Coturnix japonica: one gene and its partner. The protein of the gene in region 1 interacts with the protein of each later gene in a pairwise test. Links are inferred from orthologs where the notes say so. Each region holds a gene or a part of one and is shown in the gene's direction. Other genes may lie near its edges.

Region 1 (8,238 bases):
GTCCATTAGTGTGACAAGCATGCATATATACAGGTCCATATGTGGCTTTTACACTGAAAATACAAGAGATTGCATTGTTTATACATGAAAACAGAACCGTGAGTTAAACGTGAAACACAAGGGTAGGGTGTGGAACTAACAGCAGCACCACAGGAGCCGCACAGCTTCACTCACCCTTAAGGTGCCTTAAAACAAGCGGCAGCGATTCAGATTCGGTCGGTTCGGAGTGGAACACCGTGGGTTGGGCTCGAGGTTCGGGTTGTGGCCGGGCACTTCGGGGCCGCTCGGGTTGTAACGGCTTTTACCTCAGCGCCCTGTGGCGGGAACGGCGCTGCCGCCAGGGGTCGCTGTGGCGCTGGGCGGCCGAGCGATGGCGGACTACGAGGCGGTGCAGCGCGGGCCGCTGCGGCTGAAGGGCGGCGGAGCGGGGCTGGGGGCCGGCAAACGGTGAGCGGCAGGGAGAGGGGGGAACCGGGAGCCGGGCCGGGGGCTGGGAGCTGAGCGGCGTCTGTCCGCAGGAAGAAGAAGAAAGCGAAGGACAAGGCCAAGATCCTGGAGCAGATCGTGAGCAGCAAGAAGCAGGAAGAGGAGAAGAAGCGCGGCCTGGATAAGCGGACCCCGGCGCAAGTGGCCTACGAGAAGATGCAGGAGAAGCGGGTAGGGCCGCACTGCCCCCGGGACGTGGGGCGGGTCGGAACCCCACGGCAATAACTGTGATCTTGTGTCTTCTTCCAGCAAATGGAGAGGATCCTGAAGAAGGCCTCGAAAACACACAAACAGAGAGTTGAGGTGAGTGGAAGTACCATCAGCTGGGCAGCGCTGTGGGGAGGGCTGCGCGATGGTGAATGCTCCAATTCTGAGCGCTCTGTTCCTTTGCTGCCCCTCAGGATTTCAACAGGCACCTGGACACTCTGACGGAGCACTACGACATCCCCAAAGTCAGCTGGACCAAGTGAACGGGCGGCGTTTCGGGGCCTCGGGTCAGGAGTTGTGCTCACACCAAACAGGGCTGCCGTGTAAACCTCCGTATTCATGATACTGAATATTTCATATGTCTTCGGAACATTTATCACCTTGTACTGCCGTATTTCAGTTTCAAAATACTCAACAAAACCTCTTCTTTGGCTGTTGACTTATGGGGTGTTTTTCAGTGCTCAAAGCTGAACCCAATTGCTGTGAGACAACAGGAGAATGTTCCTTTATTTGTCCTATGCCAGCAGCTCTTAGAAGAAGCAGTCTGTGGCAGCATTACATTGTATGAGCTGCTCTTATCAGTGGCAGAACTGTGTAATTCCTATATAAAATCTCTGAGTTGGGGCAGTGGTGTCTGCTGTATTCTACAATCCTTATGTCTTTACTGTAACTTATTAAAAAGCTCCTTTTATCCATTATTTCGGTGCTCCTTTCCCTGCAGTGAGGGTGGTGTGCTGCATGCAGTCTGTATGGCTGCATTTACAGCTCTCACAGGTGATGTGAATCACATCCCAGACCCTCACACACTAATTCAACCCAAGCGTTTTCCCTCTGGTACCGCTGACCCGTCCCGGGGCTCCTCAGCCTTCCTAACTGCGGACTTCAGCCGGCCGCGCACTACTTAACGTCAGCAATCGGTGCCTTAAGTGCTGTTCCGCTGCCGGCGGATCACTGCGCGTATCCCTCCGCGCGGCCGGACCTTGTGCAGCCGCTTCCTACCGGAAGTGGCGGGCGGAAGCGGAAGTCGCTGTGACTGTGATCGGGCGCGGCGGGCGCGGCGGCCCCGGGCGGCGCGATGTCGGCCAGCGCCGTGTACGTGCTGGACCTGAAGGGAAAGGTGAGGCCGCGCTGCGGCTGTGGGCGCCCTTCACCCCGAGCTGCCGAGAGCGTCGGGCCCGTCCTGGGCTCGGCGGGGCCCGGCACCGTGGGGCTCTCTCGGCCTCGCTGCCCTGCGGCCGCCGCTTCCCCTTCCCGCTCGCTGTTTGCCCCGAGCTGTGGGGCGGTCCCGCCTTGTCCGAGTCGGGGAGCGGCCCTGCCTGCACAGCCCCGAGCATCACAACTGCGGTCAGTAATATCAGCCCTAATGGGAGGAGGCTTGTCCCAGGAGAGCGGTGTGTTTTTCCATCTCAAAAGTTATTATTATTAGGGTGTGCGTAGCTGTGTGAGGAATAACACTAGGAGATACGACTGCGTAGCTTGGGGATTTGCGTTCAAATTGCAACATATAATGGCACTTTGGTTTGCGTTTGTAGTATGTATAGACCATTGATTAAAGCTTGATATGTGGGTTTTTCAGTTAAGAGGTATTTTAACTATCCCCTGTGCTGGTCTGGCATGGTAACGTCATCTCTCAAAGGAAAAGTGTAAGGAATTGTTCTTTCCGTAGGTTCTCATCTGTCGAAATTACCGTGGGGATGTGGACATGTCAGAAGTGGAGCATTTTATGCCAATCCTTATGGAAAAGGAAGAAGAGGGAACGCTTTCTCCTATTCTAGCACATGGAGGAGTTCGTTTCATGTGGATTAAACATAACAACCTCTATCGTATCCTTTGTGCTGCAGGCAACCTACGTGTGAATCATTGAATGAATCATAGAATGACTTGGGTTGAAGGTACCTCAAAGATCTTTCAGTTCCAACCCTGCTGCCTCAGCCATGGCTGCCACAAACTAAATCAGGCACCAGATCAGGCTGCCCCTTTTACAATGCTTTTAAAAGCACACTCAGTAAAATGCTTTTCATCACACCATGACTTTGAATGCGTGTTCCTGAACATCCTTTATTAGTTGTTGCAACTTCTAAGAAGAATGCTTGTGTATCACTGGTGTTTTCATTTTTATATAAAGTAGTTCAGGTGAGTAGGAAGTTTTGGATTTATTTCCCATCTATTTTTCAGTGTGATCTAATAAAAATGCATAGAGCTTTCACTTTTTTTTTTAAATAGAATCTATACTATTTTTCCTTTATATTTGATTATTTGATAGAAATGTCTTCCTAACCACTAAGAATGGAATTGATATCTTATAACTGAGTAGGCAAAGGATGTGACACAATGCTGTGAGTAGTTGCACATGACCCGAGAACACAGAGGAAAACACTGATGTATGAATAGTGCCATATATAGGTGCTGTGTTGGGTTAATTTGGAACTGGCATCACAACTGTTTTTCCCAGCATAAATATTTTTTGTAATGATCAGACTTATTTCTTGGTCTCTTTAACCCCCTTTTAATTGAGGTGAGTTTCCTGCTGCTAATCTGGACAGAATGTTTTTAGGAATTATGAGTTTTGTTTTGGTGATTTATTTATTTTTTCCTTTTTTTCTTCCAAACTCTTGTTAGTTATAGGAATACATTCAGAATATGCTGTAGTTCCTCAGCTCATGTCCTTCTTTTTTTCCTTCCCTCTCGTTCTTTTTTTTGTTGTTTCAGGTTTTTTCTGAATATTTCAAGGAGTTGGAAGAAGAGAGCATTAGAGATAATTTTGTTATTATTTATGAGTTGTTAGATGAGCTTATGGATTTTGGTTACCCACAAACCACTGATAGTAAAATTTTACAAGAGTAAGTATCAGTCTTTATTGCTCATATTTGTAAAGTCCTTGGGAAAGTCTTTGTATTTTGCATGCAAACAAATGTTTTGGGTTCCTCCTCTAGTTATCAAAATATTTAATACTTGATAAAGTATTATAATATCCAACTTATTTATTGATGATGTGTATCTGATATAAAAGACACTTCAGATTTTTCAGAGTATAATTTGTATTTTTTGTTCTAATTCTGTGCTTATAAAGGTACATCACTCAGGAAGGTCACAAACTTGAAACTGGAGCTCCACGTCCACCTGCCACTGTTACAAATGCTGTTTCATGGAGATCAGAAGGGATAAAATATAGGAAGAATGAAGTGTTCCTGGATGTTATAGAGTCTGTTAACCTTTTGGTGGGTACCTTTTACTTGAACTTTTAATGAGAATTATTAGTAGAAGTCTTGAGAAGAACTTACTGTCTGAAAACATATTATATATTATATATTAAAAAATCAGCCTAACCATGATTAGTGTGCTGGGATGCTGTCTGTCATTGAAACTGACAATCTGTAATGACAGCCAGAGATAAATAATCATTTACTGGAACTTGTGCTCTGTGCCCAGTAGTCCCAGAGTTGGTTTCCAATGTGTCCTTCCTTTCTCTTTCAGTCTATTCCCACTTTGTCCTTAGTCTGATTGTACTGTGTTGGATTGGTTGCTCGGAAGAAAAGCATCCACGGAGACCCGGGGCTTGAGGATGGGGTGGGATTGCTGTTTGATCTCATATCATATTGTGTTAGGGCAACCTTTATCTTTCTTTTCATTACCCTTCAGGTTAGTGCCAATGGAAATGTATTACGGAGTGAAATAGTTGGATCCATTAAAATGAGAGTCTTTCTCTCAGGAATGCCAGAGCTCCGCCTTGGTTTAAATGACAAAGTTCTCTTTGATAACACAGGCCGTGAGTATTTCAGCAATATCTTTTGAAATTGTGATGGGTGTTCTCTGCAAGATTTGGTGAGGTTCAAGTGAAAACATAGATTTTGTGATGAAAACACTTGTTTAATCAATGTAGAAAACCAGGTTAGGTCTTGTGTGGCAATACCAAGAGAAGATGGGATACCACAGTGAACATGGTAACCATCTGGGCTTCATTGCCTCTTCTGCTGGGACTTTTGGAGTCTTAGAAAAAATACTGGGCTAAACCCAGGTGTGAAGGATATCAGCAGGCATCTGCTTTGCTATATAATGCTCTGATGTGACTTCAGATGCAATGGGAGCAGTGATTTGAAATCTTGGCATGTGTGTTTTCTGATAGGTGGCAAAAGTAAATCAGTAGAACTGGAAGACGTGAAGTTCCATCAGTGTGTTCGTCTCTCTCGCTTTGAAAATGACAGGACGATTTCTTTCATCCCACCTGATGGAGAGTTTGAACTCATGTCCTATCGCCTCAATACCCACGTAAGTCTGGATGTTTGGGTCTGAACCATAGCAGTTTTTTATGAGAATAATCTAGCCTGTAGGTAGAATTGCTGATGACTTTCCCGTGATGTGTTTTGTTTTTTCTTTAAGTATGGGCAGCATAGTAGTTGTGAAGTCAACCATTAGTAGTAACGCTTTGTGCTTGCTGTTTTTGGAGGAAGTAAGAATGAGGTTAGGAATAACTTGGCAGTAAGTCTCTTATCTTTTCAACTTCTATTGAAACTATTTTCAAAGCATGAATTAGTTCATTTTTAAGCTAACAATGCTATAAAATTATTGTGGCAATTTATTGTGCTTGACAGTGTTAATTTGTTAGCTGAATATTTCTTGGAGTATGTTAACATACCATATTCCTGGCTCCTCAAGGTAGCAGCTGCTGTATAAGTTAACATTCTTTTTGAAAAGAAAATATTTAGCAAAGAGGAAATATTTAATTGTCAGCTGTGACAGGAGACCAGCAAAACAGTTACAGAAAACAAAACAAAAAGACCTGCACATACGTGGAGATGTGTTTGACAACTGAAGATGTTAGGAACTAATCTGAGAAATACTTCTTTCTTTTTTTTCCCCCCCTCGATGCCTGCCATTTTTTAGCCACATTTTGCTTGTATGTCAGTGCTTACTTACAGAATTAATGTATTCAGTGTAGATTTGTGAGGAAATTACAATTTTGTGCACATGCCAAAGTAAAATCTACAGTTGTAAAATATCTTTCCCATCAGGTAAAGCCACTGATCTGGATTGAGTCTGTGATTGAAAAACATTCCCACAGCCGCATCGAGTACATGATCAAGGTCAGAAGTACTAAAATTATTATGGCTGGTTTGTCTTTTGTTTGTTCTCAGTGCTTGACCAGCAGAGTGCATTCCTGCTTACACAAACACCTACTATTTCCCTGGGATTTGTGTCTTTTTAGTGAAGTTCATTTGTGTTAATGTTCTGTATTGTGCTGTTTCTCAGTAGATTGTGGTAGAGGGAAATTATCTCACAGCTCTCTGAATTTACATGTGTAGTGTATGTGCTTAGAGATGTGATTTTTTTAATTTTTTTTTCTCACTTTTCTTTAGGCAAAAAGTCAGTTTAAACGTAGATCGACTGCCAACAATGTGGAGATTCACATTCCAGTTCCAAATGATGCGGATTCGCCAAAGTTTAAAACCACTGTTGGAAGTGTCAAATGGGTTCCAGAGAACAGTGAAATTGTCTGGTCCATCAAGTCTTTTCCAGTAAGTGCTATTTTTAGTCTTCTCACCCAATAGTACAATAATTACTTAAAGTTAATGGTTTATGACTCAGCCTAAGGCAAATTCTAAAAGCATCAAATGCTCCATAGTGATAGTACAGCTACCGTGCTATGTGATGAAAATGGTCAGAAAGAAAGCCAAACTTCTAATGTTCTCGTTGAGGATAAGACCAGAGGAAGATGAATTATGCCTCAAACTGGTCTTAAGTTGATCTATATTTAAAAGCAACAAAACAAACAAAAACCAAACACCACTATTTTTAAATAAAAACAAGTACTTCCTTCTTAGCCCTAGAAAAGAATCTGAAGTAATAAATGCAGTTCATCAATTTGATATTCTGCATAGAAAATCACTTGTATTGTTGGAAGCTTTTCTTGTTTCAAGAAAAAAAAAAATTGTTCTTTTTTTGTAAGGGTGGAAAAGAATATCTGATGAGGGCTCACTTTGGACTTCCAAGTGTTGAAGCTGAAGACAAGGAAGGGAAACCTCCCATTAGTGTCAAATTTGAGATTCCATATTTCACCACTTCAGGAATCCAGGTTGGTAGTTGAAAACAGAAATACAGAAGGAGGCTGTGTGCTAGGCTCCTGACACACAAGCTGATGCAGCCCAGCTTTGTAGCTTTGTCTGCCTTGTTCCTTGGTTTGGTGTAATTTTTGCTGTGTAATTGTTCCATGGTTTGGTGTCATTTTGCTGTTGTTTTTGTCCTGCTTTTCCTGGCTGTCACTGTCTCATTCACAAACATCTTCCTGCCCTTCACTTTGAAGTACCAAAAGTGTTTCTTTATTACTGAGGCAAGTCTGATTTTTTTGTTTGTTTGTTTGTTTTATTTTATTTTTTATTTTTCCCGGCTTTAAGGGAATCTTGTAAAGAGAATGATAGGACTGGCTGCATTATTTCATATGGAAAGCACACTGTTAATGCAAGTGACGACAGTTTATGTTTACATCTAAAGTTTTGCACATCTGGATAATTTCTGTTATTATTATCCATAGAATATACCATATATATCCATATATCTATCTATATCTATCTATCAATACCATATATATCCATATATCTATCATCAGCGATGATCTATATCCATAGATCATCGCTGCCCACCCAATCATCCCTGATTTCATTTTATTTTTTGCTAAACAATGCTTGGCTGACACGGGAGATTCATATTTAACTTTTCTTTCTTCCCAGGTTCGATACTTAAAGATAATTGAGAAGAGTGGCTATCAGGCTCTCCCATGGGTTCGTTACATTACCCAGAATGGAGGTAAATTGAAAGCAATGAACTATAAACATAATCTCTGTCTTAATGTATTTTAATTCTCCAGCATACACCAACAAATTGAAGATATGAGCAAACTGTTCTTGTGTTTCAGTATTAAACACTGCAGTATATGTACATGACATTAATGCTTGCTGATTTTTCTAGTCTTTTTTTTTCTTACTCAACTATCTTATTGAAATGCTCATTTAGACAGCACTGTTGTTCACTGAATGTGACTTTCATTATGAAATACTTAAATCTGGGGAGAAATATGAATTAAAAGAGAACTGATTCGTACATATCATTTTGCTGGCTTTGGGCTGGCTGAGATACTGTCTGCTAAGAACCACCAAGTCTGCTAAAGGAAAAGAAAAAACAAACCAATTCTGCTGCTTTTCATTATTACTTGTTTTGCTATTCAGACTGCTTTTGCTGTTCCTGGCTTGGAAGCTTGTAATTATCTTAATTGCTTTAAAGCCCATGTTCTTGGTTATTCTACATCAAGATCTGATCATTTCTGATCATTTCATCCCAGTTTGCTCTTGTGTGTTACTGAGATTAGTGAAAGGCAGTGTACTAAAACTGGTTTTATTTTTGTTATTCCTTTACAGACTACCAGCTTCGAACACAGTAAGACACCTTGCAGGCACCACAGATGACAACACTTCAGGCCTAGGATTTGTTTGCAGAAGCTTCTGTGGTACTGAGAGCTGTGAATGTTGTTGCCAAGGGTCTTGTCTCTGCAAACTT
Region 2 (10,779 bases), on another chromosome or scaffold:
AGAGGGTCGCTCGTGGAGAGAGGGGTGCTTATAGGGGGTTGAGTGCATTTAGGAAGATGGGTGCTTGTAGGGAGATGGGTGCCTGTAAGGATGTGAATGTTCGTAGGGAAATGGGGGAAATGCAGGGAGGTGAGTGCTTACAGGAAAATGAGCACTTATGTAGAGGTGAATGTTGATAGGGGGGTGGATGCTTGTAGGGAGGTGGATGCTCACAGTGAGGTGGGTTTAATGCTGCTCCCCCCACAGGGATCCCGCGCCCGCCGCACCCTCCCGAGCTGCCCCCCTACTACCCGCTGTCGCCAGGAGCTGTGGGTCAGATCCCTCACCCGCTGGGCTGGCTTGTGCCGCAGTAAGGATGGGCTCCTCCTGCCCCGGCCCCACTGCGTCCCTGGCCCATGCACCCCATGTGCTCCTTGGTTCCCAGCGAGCTGGGTGCGATGGGGTGGGGAAGGGAGGGACTGTGCTCTGGTGGAAATGTGGGATGTTGTCCCCATTGGGATCGGCTGGGGACCGAGCCAAGAGTCCCGGTGTTGTGGGGAGGGGGCTTGTCCCTGTGTCTGCTGCAGCTCGTGCATTTGCAGGCAAGGACAGCCCATGTACTCCATCCCCCCCGGCGGCTTTCGGCACCCCTACCCCGCCCTCGCCATGAACGCCTCCATGTCCAGGTGGGTCCCTGCACCCTGGTGGGTCCCCATGGCCAGGTGGGTCCCCATATCTTCGTAGGTCCCCATGTCCTCGTAAGTCCCTATGTCCTCGTGTCCCCATGGCCGCGTGGCTCTGAGCAGGGACAAGGGACCTCCTTGGGCACCCTGAGCTCCGTGTGGGTGACTGCACTGGCCCACGCTGGCCAGAAACAGCCCCATGGTGACTCTGTGTGTGAAGAGTGATGTCCCTTGGCTCTATGGTGCCAAGTTCAGCCACAAACAAGTCCCCAGCAGTTCGGGGAAGAGTCTCTAATCCCAAGAGATCCTCAGTAGGATTTGGGGGGACATTTGGGGTTGTTGATGCCTGTGGGAGGGCTGACAACCCCACTCCCTCCACTGCAGCCTGATGTCCAGCCGCTTCTCCCCACACATGGTCCCGCCGCCCACCCACGGTCTGCACCCCTCAGGCATCCCACACCCCACCATCGTCTCACCCATTGTGAAGCAGGAGCCTGCCCAGCCCAGCGCCAGCCCTGGCAGCAGCTCGTGAGTAGGGACATGGGGGGGTGGTGCCGGGGACAGGGACAGGATGGGGACAGAATGGCATGGGGATGGGAATGGGGATGGGATGGGGATTAGGATGGGATTGAGATTGGGATTGGGATTGGGATTGGGATTGGGATTGGGATTGGGATTGGGATTGGGATTGGCATTGGGATTGGGATGGAGATAGGATGGGGTGGGGAGGGACAGGAATGGGGATGGGGATGAGGATGAGGATGGCAGCAGGGACAGGAATAGGAAGGGGGATATGGAGCTGAGCCTGCATGTTGCCCCCTGCAGGAAATCCCCCATCACAGTAAAGAAGGAGGAGGAGAAGAAGCCCCACATCAAGAAGCCTCTGAATGCTTTCATGTTGTACATGAAAGAGATGAGGGCGAAGGTCGTTGCTGAATGCACGCTGAAGGAGAGCGCGGCCATCAACCAGATCCTGGGCCGACGGGTACGTGTCTCCCTCGTGCCTTCATCTGCCTGCACACCAACATGGCTGTGCTGGGGACCTGCAGGCACTGCCTGCCGTGTGTCCCTGGGGTCCGCAGTGTCCTTTCCCCTTGCAGTGGCACTCGCTGTCGCGGGAGGAGCAGGCCAAGTACTACGAGCTGGCACGCAAGGAACGGCAGTTGCACTCACAGCTCTACCCCACGTGGTCTGCCCGCGACAACTACGTGAGTGTGACCCACATTCCCCAGTTCAGTGGGGTTGGGAGGCCTGAGGGTGGTGGGGCTGAGCTGGGGGGACACCACGGTGCCGGCCCACATCACCCCCTGGGTCACCATGACCCCAGTGTGACCATGAGCCCCTGTATCACCATGTGCTGCTCTGTGGCGTTGTATCACCCCCCCTCAGCCTTTGTCCATCCCGTGGAGCATCCCACCATCACACCTCAGTGCTTTGCAATATTTCACAGGGCAAGAAAAAGAAGAGGAAGCGAGAGAAGCTGGCCCAGCAGCAGAGCCACGAGGCAGAGAGTGAGTACCCGGGGGGGAAGGGGCGGCCGTGGCCATCACGTTCCCCCCTCTGCCCCCACACTCAGCGCCTGCCCCACACCCCGCAGGTGCTCTGCCCTCCAGGAGCAAGAAGCCGTGCGCCCCACACCACCTGCCCCCCGATAAACCCTGCGACAGCCCGGCCTCGTCCCACGGCAGCATGTTGGATTCACCTGCCACGCCGTCAGCCGCCCTGGCCTCCCCGGCTGCGCCCGCAGCCACACACTCGGAGCAGGCGCAGCCGCTGTCGCTCACCACCAAGCCGGAGGCCAGGGCTCAGCTCGCCTTCCTCTCCGGCAAATCCTCCTCCTCCTCCTCCTCCCTGGGCTCCCCCCCGTCGCTGCTCCCCCGGCCCATCGCCTTCCCCTCGCTGCTGCTCCCCTCCCCTCCTGCCCCGCAGCAGACGCAGCCGCTCGCGCTGGTCACCAAACCGGCCGACTGAGGGTGGGCTGAGCAGGAGCCCCCCACCGCCCTGCACCGCAGCCGCCACAATCACGACTCCCAACGCAGCCAAACCTTTATTGGTCAATATTTGACCTTTTCTGAACTGTTTTTTTTTGTGTTTTATTCTTTTTGTCTTTTGGGAAGCAGACTCTGGAGGAAGAGGCTCTTTCCCTTTACCAGCAGTCGACCTAAAGACTGTTTTTATTAAAAAAGAAAAAAAAAAAAGGGGGGGGGGAGGGGGAGGGAAATGTTTTTTTGTGTTTTTTAATATTTTTTAAGAATAAAAGAGAGAAAGAAAAAAAAAAGAAAAAGGACCTTTCCTCAGGCTGGGCATCCAGTGCTGATGCCCCCAGTGCCCCCAGTGCCCCCAGTGCCATCCCACTACAGCTGGACCCCGTCCCCAGCTCGGTGCTGGGCTGGGGGGACATGGGGTGGGGCTGGGGGGGGGGTTTCTCATTGAATCCCTGTTATTTTTCACAAAAAGAAAACAAAACAAAAAAAAAAGAAGAAAATAAAACTACAGCTGCAACTTTGCTGCGTGAGCGTGGTCCGTGCAGGAAGGCCGGCACTGCTGAGCGCTGCCGATGTCAGCCTGGAGCCCTGCTCTGTGCTGCAGCTCCAAGAGCCGAAACCTTTTTTTTGGGTCAGAAAAGCCAAAAACCGCTGTCCTGCAAAGGGCCGCAGCCACTCAGCCGACACCAGGAGCAGGATGCGGCCGAGCAGCGCCTTGAATGGGATTTCATGGGAAATTAAAGGCATGAAGAGACCTGTCACAAGAATTAAAGTCTGGACCGGAGCCAGACGGCTTCAAACAGATGTTGGACTTCAGCGGGAGAATCTTTCTTTGTTTGGCTCGGCGTGTTCCCATACGGAGCACGAACATCTGTCGGGTGCGCTGGGTCCGGATGGTCCCTTCGGGAGGACGGAGGCACGAGGAGCTGCTGCTCGTGGGGCGGCTCATATGAAGGCGCCGCGTCCTGCCCGGCCGCTCCGAGTCCCGCTCAGCCCGGCCTGTGTCCGTGTGTCCGTGTGTCCGTGTGTCCCCGGCCACCAGGGAGCGGCCTCGTGCCGTCCGTGTCCCTGCGGTGACACGTCGCTGCTCCGCCGGCCCCGTTTTCCTTTGGGTCACTCCATCCCATCCCTAATGGCCGCCGTCCAACAGACCCCCCGGGGCTGCGCTGCCCGCTCACTAATTGAGACGCCTAATGAGCTCCCTGCGGAGATGGAGCTAATTAGGAGCTGCCCGGGGCCGGGGGGGGGGTCCCGCCAGATGTCGCGTTGCACCGGGGTGAGGCCGCGCCTCGTACCCGTTAATTGCCGTTAATTTCCCATTTGCTGATGGATTCGATCTCATCCCGCCCCGCTCAGCGGATCGTGGGCTGCAGTCAGTGCCCAGGGATGGGATGGGGAAACGTCCCACGAGGAGAAGGGCAGCGCCAAGGCCCAGAGCGCCCGGTCCGACCCCAAATCCCCCTTTTTGACCCCAAATCCCCCTTTCTGACCCCAAAATCCCCCTTTTTGACCCCAAATCGCCCCCACTCGGCTCTACCGGCGCGCCCCTCCCTCGCCGAGCCCCGCCCCCTGCTTTGCATGGCCACGCCCACTCACACAAGCCCCGGCCCCTGCCGGCCGTCAGCCGCGTGCCGGAAGTGACGTTTTGAGCGGAAGCGGAAGCGGAAGCAGGCTGTATCCGGGTGAGAGCAGCGGGCCGGCATGGCGCTGCGGGTGGTTCCGCTGCTGCTGCTGCTGCTCCTCGGCATCGCCGCCAGGACCGGGGACGGGACCAGTAACGGGGACGGGACCAGTAACGGGGCCGGAGCCGGAGGTAGCGCGGGGTGCGGGGGGAGCTGGTGGGAGCCGGGAGCGGACACGTGTCCCACGGCCCCGGGTTTTACGGGCTCTGTGTCCGCGGGAGCTGCCGGGATCCCGTGAGCGCGGCCGGGCCGAGGGTGGATGATGTGAGTGATCCCGGCGGGGCGAGGAACCGCCGCGTCAATGACCGCGGGGAGTCGGGGCTCGGCGGAACCTTAACGGGGCGGCGGGACGCTCGGGGCGGGAGGCAGCGCGGTAACGGGAGCCGGTAACGGAACTGCGGGTCCGGGTGGTAACTGCGGGCTCGGTGTGTTTGTGGCAGGCGGGGAGCAGGGAGCGGAGCTCACGCAGCCATCCAGCACTTCAACAGGCGGCGGAGGATCCAACGGGGCACAGGATGGAGACGGCGGAGGGACAAATAACGGGGGAGGAGCTGGTGGTGCCGGTCAAAACACAAACGGGATTGAGACGCAGCCCGGAGGGACAGGGAAACAAGGCGATAAAGACAAGGAAGAGAGCAATGGGGGCAAAGACACCAGCCAGAGCAATGGTAATGATGGCACTGGGAGCCAAAGCACCAGCCAGAGCAACAGCAACAGTGGCAGTGGGGGCCAAGGCACCAGCCAGAACAATGGCAATGATGGCAATGGAGGCCAAGGCACCAACCCGAACAACGGCAACGGTGGCAGTGGGGGCCAAGGCACCAGCCAGAGCAGTGGCAGCGGTGGCACACAGTCTGGCAACACTGCTGGCCAACCCAGCACCCAAAACACTGACAGCCAAAGCAATACCCAGCATGGTGATGATCAGGAGCAGAGCAGCCACAATAGTGGCAATCAGGGCACCAAGACCGACAGCCAAAGTAACCACCAGCAGGGCAGTCAGACCACACAAAATGGCAACACCAATGGCCAGAGTGGCCAGAAAAATGGCAGTGCTGGTAACCAAAACAGCCAGAAAGAGAACACTGACAAGGGCAATGGCCAGACCAACCAGCATGATGACAACACCAGCAGCAGCCAGAACAATGTGCAACATGGCAACACCAACAGCCAGACCAACAAGCAGCCTGGTAACACCAACAGTCAGACCAACCAGCAGCCTGATAACACCAACAGTCAGACCAACCAGCAAGGCAGCGGCACCCAGCAACATGGCAACACCAACAGCCAGACTAATGAGCAACATGATAACACCAACAGCCAGACCAACAAGCAGCCTGATAACACCAACAGCCAGACCAACCAGCAACCCAGCAACACGCAGCATGATGGCAACACCAACAGCCAGACCGACCAACAGAGCGACGATGCCAACGGTCAGAATGACCAGCAAGGCAGCGACAACCAGCAACAAGACAGCACCGACATGCAGGACAGCAATCAGGGCGACCAGGAAGACTCAGTGGAAAATAATGGGCAGCCCTCACAGTCAGTTTCATCTGTTCATGACACAGAAGGCTCCCCAGATGGTGACGAACTCCCTGAGGAAGAGAACGGGTTTAGGAATGGTAATGGTGCTGCCTCATTTAATGAGAGAGAGAAGAGTATTCCTGTTTCTCCAGGGAAGAAGTCAGAGAACAGCCACTTCTTTGCCTATCTGGTGACCACGGGGATTATTGTTGCTGTTCTGTATGTTGCCTATCACAACAAGCGGAAGGTGAGTGGTTCTGCTCCTTGCCCAAGTTCCCCCCTGTGGTTTAAAAGCTTCCTTCGCAGTCGTTGGTCGGTGCTGCAGGTGGGGACATGCTCGGCTGAACATCTTTCCCCTTTGCTGCTCTCATTTTTGCCTTTTGCTTCCTGCTGAAGCCTCCTGCTTGCTGGGTGGGTTTGTTTAGTGTTTAATTTGAGGCCTTGATCTCAACAGCTTTGAGATGAGCAGGGAGGAGTGTTGTAACCAGGAAAGCATTTGGATCTCCATGGAAATGGGATGGCCTCAGCTCCAGCGGTTATTTTCAGCAGTGAGAAATGGAACTGAGCGAGGAGAAAAGGAAAAGATCTGTGCAGTTGCTCTGTGTTTCTTATGGACAATGAGTTTTCTGTACCAGGTTGTGAAAGACTCGCCTTTAAATAGCACTGCACAGGGGAATACAGCCCAAGTGATAAAGCCCATCTTTTCTGCTGTTTTTGTCCCTCCTGCAAACCTGTTTTTGTGGTAGGAGAGGGATCAACTTCTTAACTGTTTTCTGTGGAAAACTGTTTTGCCATGTTTGGGAAAGCCTCATCATTTCCTGTTTTCAATCTGAGCTGCTTTTAAATGATGTTTATTTCAAGTACTTTTAGAAGGATGCGAGTGATGCTTCTCATTGGCCCACTAGAAAGTGCCTCTGTTAGAAGTCAGAAAAACTGCATGTGGTCGTTCCTGTCCTGCTCACCTTGTCCTGCCTCTCTCTCTCCAAAGATCATCGCTTTTGCCCTGGAAGGGAAACGTTCGAAAGGCGGTCGGCGGCCCAAATCCGGCGATTATCAGCGGCTGGATCAAAAGGTAAGGAGGGGGTTGGAGAAGTCCGTCGTGTTTTCCCCTTGAAACTTTGGATTCACGTGCATCTGTAGTTATTTTCTGTGATAGGAAGCCATTGTGAGCTTTCACATTGTTTTAGCTTTTCTTTTTTCCCTTTCCAGATCTAGATTCCTCTTCAGGTGTTCAGTGGAAGAATGCTGCTTGGCGACAACGGGACCAGAATGGTGGGACACCATCAACTGCCCTCTGTAGCACTGAATCATAGCTTTGCTGTCGTCTTCGGATCTCAGAGAACAGGAAGAAGGGGAAATGCTTTTACTTTTGCACCTGCACCTTGGTAATGTTCGACTTCTCACTTCCTTAAAATGTGTTTCTCCTTTCCCAGCGGCCTGAAAATGAATCGGTTTCTGCGTGGGCGTCTGGTTTCTAGACCGTGGCCCAAGAGAAGCCAGCTCTGGCACTTGACAGAACTTTCATGTCTAAACGAAATGGGATTTGCCAGCTACTGTACCGACATCTCTTGAGAAAAATCCACCTGCGAAATGAGCCATCTGATTCTCTCCTTTCAGAGTCATAGAGCTGCCTTTGTAACCAGCACTGTCCTGCTGGAGGCACCAACAATCTCTTTCTCTGTCCATTGCATTTGGATGCTGAAGTTTGGAGCGTGATTGCACTAGCTTGGAAATGATCTGCCAAGGACTCTGCTTTGATTTCTTTTCTTCCTCTGCGATGAAGGTGATGTTTGCTTCACATAACAATTCTCACCTTAATGCACTCCTCTGGGAGTGTTGGAGCTGCCCTCTGGCTGTAGTTTAGACTTCCTTACCTGCCCTATGGCAGTTGTGCTCCACGTGGCTCTGTTCCCTTGTGGTCCTCACAGCTGAGATGCTTGCACTAATGAGGACAATTAGTTTGATGCTGCGAAAGCAAGCCATTCAGGCTTACGAAGTTCTGTGCCATACAGCTGCAGTGATGGAGCAAACTTAACCTCAAAAAGGTAACTCTTCCCTGTTGTTAAAACATTGTCATGATGATGCAGAGTGGGTGATAGTGTTTGGGATGAATGAAATTTGCAGTCATTCAAACCTCTTCTCAAGTACTGAGGCTCTTCAACAGGAAAGGTGCAGCGCTTGCACTAAGGTGTTTCCCAGGCAGCTGCCCTGTGAGAGGGAGGGTTTGTCCCACAGCTCCCAAACCTCTCTGCTCTTCTGCTGCTCTGTCCTCAGCCTGCTAATGGGGTTTAACGTGATTGAATGTACACCTCACCAGCAGCTTGTTGCTGTTTTCTCAGCGTCACTGTGGGGCACTTAAATGAGGGCCTGGGATGTACTAGCACTGGTTGTATTGAAGACTGCAAAGTGTATTGATTCCTGAGCTGTAGCTGTTACGCTGGTCTTGTTTTTGTAGTTCTGCTCCAAAGATACTTACTCAAGATAGGGCACTTTTGAAGGATGTGTGTAAAGTGCCCAGCTTCTTAGTTAGTTTTTTATCCTATTTGGGCAGAAAATGACGGCTGTGACACATGGAGGGCTATTCACATGGGTACACGTGTACCCAGAGCCGCACAGAGGAGTCCTGTCCCTGCTTTGAGGCTGGAGGGGCTGCCTATCCCCAGCCCTGCATGAAGGGTGACCCTCCCCATGGCTGCAGGGTGATGAGGGCAGGGAAGATCCCTTGTCTGGCCATGAAGGCTACAGTTGTGTCCTGGTTTTCCAGCACAAAGGGAGAGCGGGAGAAATCTCCTCTTGCCTCAAACCTGTGGGATCGACTCCTGGTGTTTCTTTTCTCTTTTTATGCAATGTGTTTCAAACTGGTCAAGGAGTGTGAAGCCTTTTCCTTTTGCCCATGGCACATTTCTGAATGGACGGTACCTGTTGGGTACATGATTTCTCTCCAGGTGGGGCTGCTCCTGGGCCTGCTGCCTTGCTGGCACAAAGCAGCGCACAGTTTGTTTCCTGCTGCAGTGCAACGCAACTTGCTTTGAAGGACCAGAATTTTTATATTTCTTTGTATTTTTTTTTTCTGCTGTGTGGTAAAGTCAATAAATGACTTAAAAAATACAGTTTTAAGCCCTTTAGCTTTAACACCCCCCCCCCCCCCCCAATCTCTTTGATCATTGCTTGTGCTCTAGGCTTTGTGCAGAGCCTCTATTAATGGATGCCAGCTCAGCCCTCACATGACTAAGCACCCTGCAGGCGGAATGAAACGAGATGGCCTTTTGCTTGGAGACTGTTTATAGAGTTCCCCGTGTGCTTTGCCTTTCACCCAACTGGCCTTTGGTCAGTAGCAGACTGAGCCAGCTGGCGAGGATCTGCATTCCCCCCTTCACCCACAGGGAGGCTCCTCGAGCAGCATTCAGTGCTCGGTGGCATTAGGATGAACTGGGAGAGAAGGAATGCAGGGCAGGGTGCTGCCAGCAGAGCAGGGTTTCTGGGTGCAAGAAACTTTCCCCCAGTTTCTCTCTGGAGGACAAACTGGGGGCAGGGGAGGGTTATTTGTGGTTTTTTCTTTACTTCTTCCCCCTTGGCCGGGTCACTGAGAGCCTGGGGGAGGCAGTGGTGAAAGCAGGAGATGGAAAATGGAGACAGTTCGGTTGTGTGTTGGACTGGAGTGCTCTCTGGAGCCTTCCTACTAGGGGTGAAAGCATTGCTGTGTGCATCTTCAGGGTCACTTCCCAGAGAAGCAAGTATTGGACTCCTCCAACAACTCTAAGCCCCATGCCCAGCCTCACCCCGACCTGGATGTGCTGTAGGGGTCTCCAAACTGTTTTCTTCCTACGGGCAGTGTGAGTGCATAGGGAGGGAGCAGCTCAGGAGGTCCCCCAGCAAGAGGCAGTGATACGAGCACCCAGAGCACAGGGCTGTGTCGGGGCAGTGGTCCTGCTAATTGACCTCAAATAATTATCTACAGGGCTGGGCAGGGCCTATCAGAGCATGGCTGAGAAATACCAACAGGAGCAGAGTTTGTCTGAGAGGCCCTCAGGGTGGAGGCAACAGATTTAAAGGCTGAGTGCAGAGTGAGCCATGCATGCACAGTGGGGAGGCTTTGTTGTGCTCATTGTGGTGCCAGAGATAAAACTTCCTCCATGTCCTGGCTGCTCCTGTTCCTGTTCATGGGAAAACCACTCCTTCATGGGCTCCCAGCAGGTCTTTAATGCGGACTGAAGTCCACAGAGCAGAACCAGCACTGCAGTGCTCACTGCCTGGCACTGGGGCACCCACTGATGGCACATAAACAGCACTTCCAGCCTCAGAGCGGCCTGTGCCAATGCAGGACAGTCACAAGGACGGCTCTAAACTGCATCTCCTCTCCTTCCCAAACTCTGCCTTCTGCCACGCTGCTGTCCCCCAACCACGGGACCTGGGCTCAGCCCCAGTGCCAGCAGCACCCTGCTGCTCCCCAACCACAAGGAACACTGTCCCCATCATAAGGCAGTTTTATTTCCTGCCTTCTTGCCCTTCCCAGCACCAAAGCAGTGGTGAAGGCTTTGGTTGTGCTCCCGAACACAACCAGCAGACAAACAGCCACATCATCAGCTCAGGGCAGAACCAACAGCTCTGCAGCATGTCAGGGCTGCATTCACTGTGAGATCCCATCTGGAAGCGCCGCTGTTGCTCCTGAGCAGCTTTACACTGCCTTAAGTCAATCCACCCTGAGCGCAATCCATCCCTGAAGCCGGGCTCCTCGACGCGGGCACAGAGCCCAGGGCCTCTCCTTCCTCACACAGCACTGGGGTGATAAGCATTGTGCATCCAGCATTGTGCAGGGCTGATGGTAAATGGAACTGATGGAAAACCGGTCCAGTGCCACCTGGGTGGCTGTGTGCGGAGGGAGGGGTTCATTCCTCAGCTTCCACCACCCTGCAGATACCA

What was found. The genes of interacting proteins can lie anywhere in the genome.
Region 2: the proteins of AP1M1 (region 1) and TGOLN2 interact in a two-hybrid assay, tested with the Homo sapiens proteins (2 studies listed by BioGRID). The link is inferred for Coturnix japonica from reciprocal best matches to the Homo sapiens genes AP1M1 and TGOLN2.

Annotation. Positions count from the first base shown.
Region 1 is NC_029543.1:3,465,174-3,473,411, reverse strand, and holds the start of AP1M1 (AP-1 complex subunit mu-1), read left to right. Parts: upstream 1-1,704; 5' UTR 1,705-1,768; coding exon 1,769-1,810; intron 1,811-2,359; coding exon 2,360-2,516; intron 2,517-2,758; coding exon 2,759-2,826; intron 2,827-3,402; coding exon 3,403-3,533; intron 3,534-3,763; coding exon 3,764-3,911; intron 3,912-4,332; coding exon 4,333-4,459; intron 4,460-4,816; coding exon 4,817-4,959; intron 4,960-5,702; coding exon 5,703-5,774; intron 5,775-6,047; coding exon 6,048-6,206; intron 6,207-6,637; coding exon 6,638-6,763; intron 6,764-7,415; coding exon 7,416-7,491; intron 7,492-8,099; coding exon 8,100-8,122; 3' UTR 8,123-8,238. Other genes in the region: protein FAM32A, read left to right, coding at 371-447, 519-657, 736-789, 888-956. UniProt on the Homo sapiens protein: Subunit of clathrin-associated adaptor protein complex 1 that plays a role in protein sorting in the trans-Golgi network (TGN) and endosomes.
Region 2 is NC_029537.1:26,591-37,369, reverse strand, and holds TGOLN2 (trans-Golgi network integral membrane protein 2), read left to right. Parts: upstream 1-4,289; 5' UTR 4,290-4,348; coding exon 4,349-4,460; intron 4,461-4,769; coding exon 4,770-6,106; intron 6,107-6,847; coding exon 6,848-6,931; intron 6,932-7,068; coding exon 7,069-7,074; 3' UTR 7,075-8,969; downstream 8,970-10,779. Other genes in the region: TCF7L1 (transcription factor 7-like 1), read left to right, coding at 247-349, 582-665, 1,047-1,190, 1,488-1,647, 1,763-1,870, 2,113-2,173, 2,260-2,633. UniProt on the Homo sapiens protein: May be involved in regulating membrane traffic to and from trans-Golgi network.